Macaca fascicularis: one gene and its partner. The protein of the gene in region 1 purifies or fractionates together with the protein of each later gene. This does not show direct contact. Links are inferred from orthologs where the notes say so. Each region holds a gene or a part of one and is shown on either strand. Other genes may lie near its edges.

Evidence for each region.
Region 2: the proteins of CUL9 (region 1) and APEX2 purify together in Homo sapiens (affinity purification with mass spectrometry; 3 studies listed by BioGRID and IntAct, counting the BioPlex papers as one, with this or other methods). This does not show direct contact. The link is inferred for Macaca fascicularis from reciprocal best matches to the Homo sapiens genes CUL9 and APEX2.

The regions. Positions count from the first base shown.
Region 1 is NC_088378.1:128,344,580-128,351,191, forward strand, and holds part of CUL9 (cullin-9), read right to left. Parts: intron 5,633-6,612; 5' UTR 5,624-5,632; coding exon 5,029-5,623; intron 4,479-5,028; coding exon 4,324-4,478; intron 3,982-4,323; coding exon 3,481-3,981; intron 2,969-3,480; coding exon 2,833-2,968; intron 2,683-2,832; coding exon 2,489-2,682; intron 2,217-2,488; coding exon 1,811-2,216; intron 1,411-1,810; coding exon 1,218-1,410; intron 1-1,217. UniProt on the Homo sapiens protein: Core component of a Cul9-RING ubiquitin-protein ligase complex composed of CUL9 and RBX1. The CUL9-RBX1 complex mediates ubiquitination and subsequent degradation of BIRC5 and is required to maintain microtubule dynamics and genome integrity.
Region 2 is NC_088395.1:54,986,092-54,993,226, forward strand, and holds the start of APEX2 (DNA-(apurinic or apyrimidinic site) endonuclease 2), read left to right. Parts: upstream 1-2,557; 5' UTR 2,558-2,657; coding exon 2,658-2,814; intron 2,815-3,782; coding exon 3,783-3,866; intron 3,867-4,484; coding exon 4,485-4,665; intron 4,666-5,196; coding exon 5,197-5,343; intron 5,344-5,891; coding exon 5,892-5,961; intron 5,962-7,135. UniProt on the Homo sapiens protein: Functions as a weak apurinic/apyrimidinic (AP) endodeoxyribonuclease in the DNA base excision repair (BER) pathway of DNA lesions induced by oxidative and alkylating agents.

The DNA of each region.
Region 1 (6,612 bases):
CACTCTAGCCTGGGTGACAGAGTGAGACTCTGTCTCAAAAACAAGTAAATAAATAAAAATAAATAAATAAATAAAATGAGAATACGTTGCGTGTTATTTGTATAACTTAAAAGTAGAGGGCTGGACGTGGTGGCTCACGCCTGTAATCCCAACACTTTGGGAGGCCAAGGCAGGCAGATGATGAGGTCAGGAGATTGAGACCATCCTGGCCAACATGGTGAAACCCCATCTCTACTAAAAGTACAAAAATTAGCTGGGCATGGTGGCACATGCTTGTAACCCCAGCTACTCAGGAGGCTGAGGCAGGAGAATCCCTCGAACCCGGGAGGCAGAGGTTGCAGTGAGCCAAGATCGCACCACTGCACTCCAGCATGATGACATAGCAAGACTCCGTCTCAAAAATAAATAAATAAATTAATTAATTAAATAAAAGTAGAAAAAACTTTTAAAATAAAGTAGGTTTTAAGGTCTAATGTGTTTAAAAAAAAAAAAAAAAGTAGGGACAGAAAAAAAAGAAAAAGAAAGAGAAAAAACTCCAGTTCTAGAGCCAAAAAGACCTAGGTTTGAATCCTGGCTCTGCTATCTGTAAAACTCTAAGCAAGTTACTTACATTCTCTAAGCTTCAGTTTCCTCACCCATCCAATAGGATAAATATTACCAACGTTTCCTCCGATGTTAGGTGGATTTAATGAGAGAATGCACGTAAAATACTAGCATTGGCCGGGCGTGGTGGCTCAAGCCTGTAATCCCAGCACTTTGGGGGCCGAGACGGGCGGATCACGAGGTCATGAGATCGAGACCATCCTGGCTAACACGGTGAAACCCCGTCTCTACTAAAAAATACAAAAAACTAGCCGGGCAAGGTGGTGGGTGCCTGTAGTCCCAGCTAAGGCAGGAGAATGGCGTAAACCTGGGAGGCGGAGCTTGCAGTGAGCTGAGATCCGGCCACTGCATTCCAGCCTGGGTGACAGAGCAAGACTACGTTTCAAAAAAAAAATATATATATATATATATACTAGCATAGTGCCTGGCATAACAGAAGTGCTCCAAGAATACGAGCCATTAAAACATCCAACCTTCCTGCTCGGCTGCTCCTCAGGCTGAGCCTTCCCTCATCCCCAGCTTTTCTAATTCGTGATCTCAAAGCTCCTTCCCCTCTACCACCATCCTTTGCCTACAGCTTCAACCAAAACCTCTTCCCTCCCCAATATGCTAACCTCAGTGATCTGTCAGGACGGACCAGAGGGTGATCCCGCTCAGTGACCTCCTCCACAGCCTGAGAGAGGGCACAGAGCCCTGAAAGCTGCAGGTTTGTGTCCAAGCTGGATATCTGCACAGTGGCCACGACGGCTGCCACATGTTGATCCAGGGAGCTGCGAGGACCGGGACCCCGCAAGGCTCTGGCCATTTCTGAAATTGGTGGGAAAAGGCAATGGCTAAAAGAACTGTGGCACCTTGAAGTTAGAAGTCTTTAAAGTCAAGCCCAGTTATCCTACCAATATTTAAATACGTTATCGGCTACTGCAGCTTGCATAGTTTTCCAATTCTGTGTCAGGGATCTAATGATCAAACAAAGGAGATGAAGACACCACAGAAAAAGGACCCTCCTTTTCCAGAGATACTGAAGGGAGCGCTGGTTAATTAAATACAATCAAGGTCAAAAGGAAGAAGATGGACACATGGTTCCAAGGCATTTTCTCCTGCAAAAATGACCTTCTTCCATGGTTTTCCTTCGATCCTGACTATCCATTTCTTCTACTGAGACCACCCAGGACCTGTTCCAATTGCTTCCTCCCAGAACCTGACTCACCACTGGCTGACTCCTTCATCTCAGTGGGCAGGGTCATCCCCTCAGTCACCAGAAGCTGGTTAAACAGCTGCGAATCACTCTGTGCCATGGGGGGCTCAGTCCTTGTCTTGGTGGGCTCGGCCTCTGTCTTAGGGGCCTCGGCCTTTGCTTTGGGGGACTCAGTCTCTTCCTCTGAGAAGTTGGCCTCCGACTTGGACTCCTCTTCTGGATCTGGGGTACAGGAGTGATTTCGTGAAGTAGACGAGCTGCTTCGTTCATCAGACAGCAGCCCATACTTGGTGTAGATCTGGGAGTTGAGCAGGTCATTGAGAGTGCTGCCCTCAAATCGACTACTGAGAACCTGCAGCAGACTCTCAGCCATCTCCACGGACACAGAGATCTCACCTAGGGCCTTTTCACCCAGGGTCTGTCAACAGAAGGGGTATACGTTTAAGAGATAAGCAGACACAAAGGTCTTGGGGTCAGTAACGGGAAGGGTGATCACTCCCCACCACGCCCCCACACCTTCTACATACTAAACCCTCACAGCACTTGCCTCTGCCCCCCAGCAGGACTTCTCCTAACTCTAACCTCTAGCTCCAGCCTCCCCCTAGTGGTATCCCCTGTCTGAAACTCCTTCTAGAGAATCCCACCTCTAACCCTACTAGAAAATCCCCAGGTATCTCAGGCCTATAATACCTCATCCACGTTCTTCCAAAGATTCTGGAAAATTGGCTGCTGCTCACACAAGTCCAACTTTTTGATAAAGAAAAGCAGCTCCCACCATTCAGCCTGGGTCAGATATCCCACTCTCTCATTCTTCTGAGGTTCGGGCTGGAGGTACGGCAAAGGGTAGAGCCCATCCATAGGATTCCAGTCCCAGGAGGGAAATGCTGAGGACACAGGCATGGTGGGGATCAGCACCCCTCAGGAATGGGGTCCGTTTCTGGACCCCTAGGACTGCTCCTGGTCAGAAGTGGCTTCATCCCAGTCACTACTCCTCTGTTCAGAGACATGCTATCCATGTCCCCTCTTAGGCTCACCTGTGCCCAACACAGTAGCCCCTGCCCCCTTCTCCACAGCTGCTGAAGCCTTATCCTCAGTGGCTTCCTCAGGGCCCAGGATCTCCAGCATGTGCCAGTGCACCCAGTAAGTGCGGCCTGTCGACTGCCAGAAAACCTGGTATGAGGGAGGAAGAAAGAGGGCAGAATAGAGAAGGCTCAACCATCTGAGCCTTGGCCTGTGAAGGCTTGAAAGGACATGCCCAAGCATAGATTTGGGGCGCACCCTCACATACACAGCTGGCTAAGCCTGGAAAAACCCCCATATGGCAAAAGGCTTCCTTCCCTTATCAGGAGTGGGCCCTGCCTCTTCTTAACCATGATGTTCTCTGCTTCCACATTCCTTCCTAGCCTCTTCCACTGGTGGTGGTGGGGAGGTATCTCCATTTATCAGTTCTGCTTCCTGGGTGAGTCTCCCATGAACTTACAGTCCACCCACACCCCACACCCCTGCCACATTTTCTCAGCCCTCCAAATGCACCCCCCGCAAATGCCAACCCCCTTGTATCATTCCAATTCCCCAAGGGGGTTTCTTCTTGGGTGGCCTGCAGGAGTCCGCTGTATGAAGTCCCAGCTATACCCCACCCCAAATAAACTCCCAACAGTGTCTCACCACCACATGCTGCCCACCTGCACAGGGGGAATGCCGTTGTTGCTCTGCCGGAACTCGCCCTCGTCCCCAGCACTGATCTCCTCATAATCATCCAGCATCCGCACTCGCATCCCCGGCTGCAGCATCTGCTGCACATATTCTCCATAGCCACTACGGCTGGAGAATTCAGAGCGCTGGCGGAAGACCCACCCTTGTCTTCTGGGGGTGGTGACAATGGTGGGGAGTAAAAGGCTGGGGCCTGAAATGTAGGGCTGAAAGATGGACCGGGTTGGCCGGGGAGGTGACATGCCCTGTTCGCTGAGGTTCCGGGCCCAGCCCATGCTCCGCACAAGCTCAGAGATGAGATTGCCCACAGCCATGCTGAACTCCAGCTCCCGCTGTCCCCGGCTTTTCTCTCTTGTGGCACACGGGGAGCTTTGGTCTCCAGCTCCCAGCTCTGGACTGTTATTCAGCTGATCCAGGAGGGAGGTGACACAAAGGTAGCGCTTCACCAAGGAGAAGAGCAGCTTTCCTGGGATCTGTAAGGCACAATACTTGGGACAGGTTCATCTCTTCCTGGCTTTAGCTTCTCCCTTTCCCCCCAGTATCCTCCTTTACAGAAAAATAAAGGCCTTCTCCCCAGGCCTGTAGTTCTCCAACTTTGATTTGTGTAAGAAAGGCACAGGGAGTGTCTTAAGACACAGATTTCTGGGTTCTCATCTCAGAAATTCTGAATGGAGAGGGGCTGAGAGGGAGGACATGAACCTTCATGTTAACAAGTTCCCAGGTGGCTCTGGTGCTAACATTCAGTCCTGAACCATGTTTTCAGAAATAATGCCTCAGCCCTTGTACACAGCATTTCCCTACAGCTGGTAGTGTACCTGAGGCAGATGAATGCCCTCAAAGGCCATGCAGTGTTCTTCAGAGGATGTGGTTTCTGCAAACAGCTCCAGCAATGTATAGCGACTGTCAAAATCCATGTGCTGCTCGATGCCATCTTGCTGGCTCAGTGACAGAAGGACGTGAGCCCGACTCCCTGTAATCCATACCCAATCCATAACTTCTCCTCAATCCCCAGTACTTTCTCCCTGCCTTTCCTAGATTCTATCTCCTATCCCAGAGGCTTTCAAACTTTGTTACTAAGACTCACAGCAAGAAATGTTTTACATGGTAACCTGTTACAAACATACATACATATAACTGAAATATATTTTATGGTACAAAATTTACCCCTACTAAGTGCTACACACTAATGACTTAAGTTTTTTAAAAAATGTTGGTTGTAACCCACCAAATTGATTTCAAAACCAACTAATAAATCTCAATCCAGTTTCGAAAATACAGATAAATCCTATTCTCTTCTCTGGTCAATGCACTGAGAATGAACAGATAAGCCAGAGGCTATCATTTTAGCCTCTTTATATACCTGAAATAGCCTACGAATCTGTAGTTTTCCTTTGCATCAAATTGATATTCACCAAATACTAGGTGTTCTTACAGAGCTAGGAAATCTCTCCTCTTTCTGTTCTTACTCCCTGTGGCCCCATTTTCTCCATTGTTTTCCTTCTTCCCTGGCTGTCTCTTACCAGCATCGTGGGCTGCCAGAGCCTGCAGCATTTTGCCTGCACTCCGGCGGATCTGAGGCTCAGGATTGCACAACATGTGCATAAGCAGGTCCAGGGCTCCTGTCTCCCTGAAGACACCAGTGAGGGGCCCGATGCTGGCGTAGGCACTGAGCACGTGGATGGTGTGGAGCACAGCAGCCGTGAGGCTTGGGGTCCCACTTTCTGCCAGCTGCCTGGCTGCCCTGCGTACCAGCGCCTGCACATCAGCCTCCATCTCTCCCATTGCCACTTCATCCGGGCCTCCTGGATCTCGAGGAAAGCTTCCTGAAACCCCAGCTGGTTCATGCTGAGGTCCCTTAGATAGTGCCCGCTCACCTAACAGCCCAGGGCAGTTGGCGTAGACCTCAGGAGCTGACAGCCACATGAGGATGTGCTCTGCTTTGCCTTCTTCCACACCCACTTTGCCCACTTCCCCACACTTCAGGACACTCCATCGGATCAGGTATTCAGGATGCCCATCATGCCCAGGCCTCTGTCGAATGAGTTCTTCAGGATATGCCTGCAGCCGAGGCCCTAAAGGCACCATGAGGTCCCCAGCATGCCGTTCCCCGACCATCCTGACCTCCTGGGATATATAAGGAGAAAGATAAGGCAGTATGAGAAAATAAAAAAAATACAGAGGGGGTGGAATCTTGAGACACAGAGAAGGTGGGTGGTGATCGGTAGGCTGCATGGTAGAATTTAGGAGGCCAAACAGAAAAGGCAAAAAATAGGATGGAATAAATAGCTGAACATACTTTGGGATTTATAACAGAAGGAGAATGGAGTGAAGACAGTGAGGGGATAAAGAGATTTAAGAAATGGAAGAGTTGGCTGGGCCCGGTGGCTCACACCTATAATCCCAGCACTTTGGGAGGCCAAGGTGGGCAGATCACGAGGTCAGGAGTTCAAGACCAGCCTGGTCAACACAGTGAAACCCCATCTCTACTAAAAATACAAAAATTAGCCGGGTGTGGTGGCATATGCTACTCAGGAGGCTGAGGCAGGAGAATCACTTGAACCCAGGAGGCGGAGGTTGCAGTGAGCCAAGACCGCACCACTGCATTCCAGCCTGGGTAACAGAGCGAGATTCTGTCAAAAAAGAAAGGAAGGGAGGAAGGGAGGAAGGGAGGAAGGGGAGTTTACAAAAAGATAATGAAAAGAATAATAGGCAAGGTAACAATAAACAGTGACAGTTAAGCAAGATAGTTTAGGCAGGATAGCAGGGTGGCTGAGGGTTACCGATTAGGACTTAGAAAGATGACATGGGTGGACAGGAAGCACAGCAGCATGAGAGGCAGTGGGGTCAGAACATGTGAGGAAAAGTAGGACAGCGGAGGGGCACGACAAGGAGCATAAATGACAGAGTAAAGCTGCAAGATGGATGTAAAGGGTGGGCCATGGCAGATACAGAGAACGGAGATGACAAAAGGCTGGGATGTTGGGGCAAATGACTGGATAGGAAAAGTGTTTTCGAGTCTTGTGAAAGGGGGAGGGCCCTAGGGACCAGATAAAATTATGGGAAAGATGACCAGGTCCCACCCTGCACTTATGCTGTATGTATGG
Region 2 (7,135 bases), on another chromosome or scaffold:
CTCATGCCTGGGCCCCAAACCTCACTGAATCCTAGTCCTGGAAGCGGCTCTCCACAGACCATAGTCGCACAGGGAGAAGAGCAGCTGGAGGGTTTTGGGTGGGATTGCTTGTGGAGCCTATATAAAAAAGCAAGATCACTACTCTTAGAGGGAGGAAGTCCCGAAATGTCTCCAAAGAGCTTTGGTTTCTGCCTTTCCACCCTTCTTGATCGTGACAGCCCTCTGAGGAACATTGGCTAGAGACTCTGATTTCCATTTTACTGAGGAGGCTACTGATGCCCAGAGAAGCTAGAGAGTTTGTTCAAAGCCCACAGCAAATCAACCCTACTTTACACATCAGTGGGGAGGTAAGAGCTATAATCTCAATCACTCAGTTCATTCAAAACCACACCAGAACAAGTTAGAGAGACTTTCACAGGTGCTAGGGAATTGCCCTGGGGGCCAGGGTCCCACAAAGGCCAGAATGGATTTTTAAAAATATACAGATATATAAATAGGTTACATATAATCTTTTCCCCCACTTTCCCATGCCCTTTAATGCACACGTCAACCAACCATCTACGCAAAGAAAATTTTTCAGAGGGCCTGAAGAATGGATGTGGATTTGTGTAACTCCTGCCTACGTTCCCTTCTTTCTCACCTACCTTTTATTCTAGAGGTTTTTTCTTCCATTGCTAATTATCCAACACTCGGATGTCTTGCATTTACAGACCCCTAAGGCAGGTCCAGTGGGTGGCATCAAAGAGGAAGCCTGGAGGTGTTCGTTGGTTCCCTGAGAAGGCTGAGGATGTACCCTTGTTAAGTGGGGGGAGTGTATGTGCTCTGTTGAAATATTAGCTGTTGTAGTTGCCAAAGAAGTTCCTGAGCCACCCGAAGCCTTTTCTCTTCAGTCCAACCATGTGTTCACCTTGCCCCAAAGGTCAGAACTAATATTAACAAGCCATTGCAGAATAGGGAAATTAAAACCAGCTATGGAGACAGGCAAGTTCTGGATTTTGCTGGGGCTGAGTTTCAGATTGGTCTTCAGTGTAAATGGGCATAATCTCTTACTGGAAAGCAATCTGACAATATGAAGCAAGAGCAATAAAAATGTTCATTTCCTTTGTCCTAGTTGTCACGTTCATGGGAGTCAATCCTGAGTCAACAACCCCCAAAGCATGAAAAAGCTTAGGACACACAAATTTTATTTTAATCACAGAGCTATTTTCTGATAGCAACAACTGGTAAATTTAAGTCCTCCAGGAGGAAAAGCAGTTTACTGCGTCTTTGCTGTAACCATTGAGGACGATGGCTCTAATGCTTAAATTCTGGGGGAAAAATAATTATGGTGCAATTCTGGGTGAGGAACCTAAAGATGCATCGTTATGCTTTTCCCTGGACATTGGGCATATCCATTATTTCTATTTTTTGTGCTCTCAAAAACAAGCCATGAACCTGTTGATGCTCTTGCTATTATTCTTTGTTCATTCATTCACCTGACAAATATCTATTGCTTCCCAATATATACTGTGTCCAGTATTAGGGGATGGGCTAACAAGATGAACCAGACATGGTCATTGTTCTCAAGCTGCTGGCAGTCTATTGGCAGCAGAAATAGAAGTCAATGACAGCTGTGTATTATAAGTACTGTGACAGAATGGACCATAGGGTGCCGTGGGGCCCCAGAGGAAAAGACTTAACTGGGGTGGTGTGTGGTCAGTAAAAACACTCAGAAAAGTAATCCTTGAGCTAATTAACATAAGGTTTGAATCCTGGCTCTACTACTTCAGTGTAAGAGAGACTGAACTGTGAGAATGAAGTGAATTCACTCGACGTCTCTAACTTAGACTCAATGCCCCAAACAGGGCTGTCCTGAGAATTAAATGCGATAACATATACAGAAGAGCCATGGATGCATCCGGAGACAGTGCTGCTCACGAGCTTACATTTCCTGGGCCTCGATTTCACTTATCTGAGAAACAGAACCAAGAGTAAGGATGTGCCCGGCTACATCCTTCGGAATGTTAAGAGCCAAGACAAATAAAAGCTACAGGGCAGGCTTGAGACAGCCTCCTCCTCCTCCCCTCTGCCCCAATAAAGCCAAAGGCCCTCCTCCTAAGTCTTATCTCAGTGGAGCGACTCTTACTGCTCCCTCCTCCAACCACGAACCTCCCTTTGCCCCGTTCAACGCGAGCACTTAGCGCCAGCTACTCCTGGGGCGCAAGCGCGGCAGCCATCTGTGCACTTAGGTGGGCGGTCCGTCGCACTGAGGGCGGGGCTTTGGCTGCTGAGCAGTTCCGCTCAGGGTCGCCTACAAAGTGGCAAAATCCCGTTTGTAAGTAACCGGACGCACCACGTGGACTTCTGAGTAGAGGAAAAACGTACTGAGACTCAGGTGTCCGAGCGGAAGGCGCGGGAGCCCAACTGGAAACTCCTCTCGCCATTCATTGCCCCTAGGCTTCCGCTCTGCTTCTTTCACGTCCACCCAGTTCTTCCTCCCGCCAATGAGAACTGAGGAAGTTGAAGCCCCCGCCCGACGTGCGTCAGGCGCTTTTGTGGTACGCACGAGAGCGCCTGCGCAAACGCACGCGGGAGGCGGGCCTGGCCAACTTCGGAACAGCGAGCTGTTCGCTCGCGCCTAGTTTGGCGCGGGCTGGGAGGTGTTCCAGCCCGTTAAGATGTTGCGCGTGGTGAGCTGGAACATCAATGGGATTCGGAGACCCGTGCAAGGGGTGGCAAATCAGGAACCCAGCAACTGTGCCGCCGTGGCTGTGGGGCGCATTTTGGACGAGCTGGATGCCGATATCGTCTGTCTCCAGGAAACCAAAGTGACCAGTGAGCGCTCTGGATTCCAGGATCCCTGCATACTTTTTCTTTCCCGCTAACTTTTGCCCCCTGTCCCATGTAATTTTACTTTCCCAGTTTCCTATTCTTAGAGTCCTGCCCTTAGACCCAGGTCTCTTCCCTATTAAACTCCCATTTCCCACCCTAGCTAGATCCCCAGTTGCACTCCATTTCCTGTCTTCAGCAAACTAGCTCCTTCTCGAAACCCCATATCTAGTCAGATTCCCACTCATTCTCTGGCCCCAAACTCAGTCCCCTGAATTTCCTCCTTCCATACGCTGTCCATCTCCCCGCCACCAAGTCAAACCTCCGAATTCTTCATCCTTGCCCCAAGCTCAGATCCTCTAATTCCCACCCCACCTTTGACCCCAGCTCAGTCTTTCTAATTGCCTCCTTTTCACACCTCCACCTCAGAACCCCGTACCCCTTATCTATCCCCATCTCTCCTCCCAGCTGAAAGTCCCTAATTCCCACCTTATTTCCCACCCCAAGCTTAGATGTCCTCTTATTTCTTCACCCTTCTATCTCCCCTCAGAATCCCCTAATTCCTTTTCCTTCCATCCCCAGTTCAGATCCCCTAATTCCCTCTCTCTTACCTCTCACCCTTAGCTCAGATTCCCACTGTCCTCTCATATGTCCATCCCCACCCCCAGCTCCCTCCCATCGTCCAGACCCCCAGGCTTAGCTCTGATTCTTTCCCTCTCCCACCTAATTCTCCACCTCCACTTCATAGTCTCTAACCACCCCCGCCAGCCTTCTAATTCTGATATCATTTTCCTCTCTGACATTTCCCATCTTTCTAGGTCTTCCTCTACTCATAGATACTTCATTCCCGTCACCCCCAACTCCGGCTCTGATGTGTGCAAGGAATTAGCCTACAACTGTAATTCCAGGCCTTTGTGTTTCTCGGATGCTAGTTTTACCTCTGACTTAATCTTACATTTTTTTTTTTTCCCTAGGGGATGCACTGACAGAGCCCCTGGCTATCGTTGAGGGTTATAACTCCTATTTCAGCTTCAGCCGCAACCGTAGCGGCTATTCTGGTAAATGGGGCTTTCTGTGGACTTTAAATTAGTGATGGAGGCAGATGGGGAAAAGGGTTTCCAATATTTGATGAGAGGGTAATAAGAAATTTAGACATTTAGTTTACAGAGCTAAAGCTGCATAATAGTAAATTACGTGAAATATAATTTTTATGGATAGAATTATCCTACTGGACCTCAGAAGTACAGTAGTAGTGTGGTGCTTAATTGTGTGAACTGTGGAGCCAGAAGCCCAGGGTTTGAATTGTGGCTCATTCCTAGCTGTGCACCCTCTGGCAAGTTACATTACCTCTTGGTGCCTCAGGTTCCTCAGCTAGAAAATGAGGATGATGTTTACCTTCTAGGGCTGTTACGAGGATTAAATTAATTAATCCATGTGATAGTAATAATTGCTAATACTTCTCGAGCACTCACCATGTATCAATGTAAAACACTTAGAACATTCTGTGGCTTTTTTAGATGCAGGAACTGAGACTCCAAGGTTTGAATAAGGTTCCCCAAGAACCACACTTTATGAAGATGACTTAGGTGACCTGTGTGGGGACAATTGGAGTGGGACAGGCTGTGCAACAGGGTATTGACTGCCAGGTCTGCTCAGAGTACCCTGTCTGTTCCCAGGTGTAGCCACCTTCTGTAAGGACAACGCTACCCCAGTGGCTGCTGAAGAAGGCCTGAGTGGCCTGTTTGCCACCCAGAATGGGAATGTTGGTTGCTATGGAAACATGGATGAGTTTACCCAAGAGGAACTCCGGGCTCTGGATAGTGAGGGCCGGGCCCTCCTCACACAGCATAAGATCCGGTAATAGCTCATATCTCCCTGCTACTGAGCACTGCTGGTGCTACTCTTTGAGTGTGAAGATTCTGAGGCTTGCCCTGTAAACATACATGCACCATGGTGAAGTTCCCAAATTTGCCTTTCCTGATTTAGTCCTGGCTGGGCTGCTCAGTGTGTGACCCTGGCAAATTTTTCCCCCTCTGAGGCTTGAGTTTCCATCTCTACAGTGTGGGGCTGGCCTGGTGATCCAGCCCTTATTACCATAGACATCTCAAAAGCAACTTAGTGCTGAATTCACTGCCCCAGGTTTCTCTCTTTCTGGGTGTTCTCTTTGTGAATAGCAGCGCCATTACCTGGTGGTCATCCTTAGATGTCCGTCTCCCTGCCTTACCAGTAGTCAGTCCCCAAGTCCTGTGCATGCCAGCTCATTTGTGTCTCTTTAACCCCTTTCTTTTCCATCCCAGACAGTCACCAAATGGAAACCATGTGGTATGGGGAAGGGACAGAAGGGGAGGTTTGAAACTGACCCCTTTTGAAGGTTTCTCTTTTCTCTAGCACGTGGGAAGGGAAGGAGAGGATCTTGACCCTAATCAACGTGTACTGCCCCCATGCGGACCCTGGGAGGCCTGAGCGGCTAGTCTTTAAGATGCGCTTCTATCGTTTGCTGCAAATCCGAGCAGAAGCCCTCCTGGCGGCAGGCAGGTACTGCAAGCCTAGGCAGCAAGGCTTCCTTGAGTCGGTCCTGGGTGCCCAGCCCTGTGTTAAGCTCCATTGAAAGGGATATGGAACCTTTCCAAAGAACTCAGAGACAAAGGGATATTGTTTCTACCCCACAGAATAGTTTTAAGGGTGAAATGAGATGAGAATGATAAAGTTCCTGGAAGCAAAGGAAAGTCTTGTTCCAGGGAAGGACAGGAAAGTGAGGGTGGGTTAGAGCAATCAAGGGGAGGTGGTATTTGAGCTCACCTCCCCTTGATTGAAGGACAAGAAAAATGCCCATTAGGTACTGATCAGTGAGGCAGTCATGTCAAACATGGAGCACTGTCACCTTTGGAGATCAGAATTGGGTTGGTCAGATATGAAAGGCAGCAAGGTTGTGGTAAGATTGGAGAGGTAGGCTGCTATGAGTTGCTGTTGGCTAGGAAGCCTCAATATGGGAGGTGGCCTGTCTGAGCTCTTGGGCCCAGGAAAAAGTATACGAGCCAGGACTGCTGCACCCCTTTCTGACAATCCCATATTGTGTTTTTCAGCCATGTGATCATTCTGGGTGACCTGAATACAGCCCACCGCCCCATTGACCACTGGGACGCAGTCAACCTGGTAAGGCTACCTCTAGGTGCCTGGCCCCACTTGATTGATTCTGTTTGTCCAGCCAACCAATGCTGAGTTTTTGGCCCAGGGACAGCTTCCTTTATGGGAAAGTGGAGCTTGGTTTGCAATACTATTCTTATAGTACTGAGGATTGGTCATTTATTCAATAGACAATACTGACTCTGCCACATACTGAGGACTCAGGAGTCAGATCCAACTCTTGGCTCCTAGGAGCTCTCCAGCATGGTGGTGGGCTACAGGCGCATGGCTGGCCAATTATAGGATGGTATTCTCAGAGCAGAGACACAGATGGCATCCCAGAAGGCTACGGGAGCTCAGAGATGGGAGTCCTAGGTGAGCTCAGACATCAGGACAGGCAGCTGAAAATGGCTGAATCTTAACAGACAAGTAGAACAGCTTTGAAGTAGCGAAGCATTTTAGCATGGGCAAAGGTTTCAAGGTGAGAATTTGCATTGTGTGCATGGGGAACCACAAGTCCCTTTCTTCTCAGTGACACGGGAAGGGAGGTGAGTGGCAGAAGGTGGGGCTGGAGAGTTGTTGGGGGTCAGATGTTTTCAAGGACTGTGAATTCCACATTGCCTTGGTCATTTCCTTAATACACTGTGTTTCTTGTTTATGAACTTTCAATACCTCTTGGTTACCTCTGTGATGCAGAGAAAACATCGAGACCTAGCATTCAAGGCTCTCCATGGACTGCGACCTGTCTGTATTTCCACCTTCAGTGTCCCTACACATTTTGTCCTCTCTAGACAGGTTGTCTCCTGTCGGCCTGTTGTAAAAGTTATTCTCATTCTGGCTTTTTTCACTGTGCCCTGAATTGGTGGAAATGACCCCCTCTCTGTCTTTTTGTTATATGAACCTCTTATCTCTAAGTCCCCCTAGGCCCATGGTTTTCAGCCCCTAACTGCATATTAGAACAAAAATATCAATATCTTAGCACTACTGCAGACTAATGAACTCAGAACTCTTGGGTGTGGGGCCAGGGTAGTGGCACGTTCTAAAAGCCCCCAGTGTGACTTTATCATGCAGCCAGGCTTGAGAACCACTGCCCTAGAATCTACAAGCCAGCTATCATCTTGGCTTGCCTTATGTCTCATGATGGGGGATCAGTGATTGATGTTGGCACAGTCCCACTCAGCACTGGGTTTGGCTTAGAGAAGGA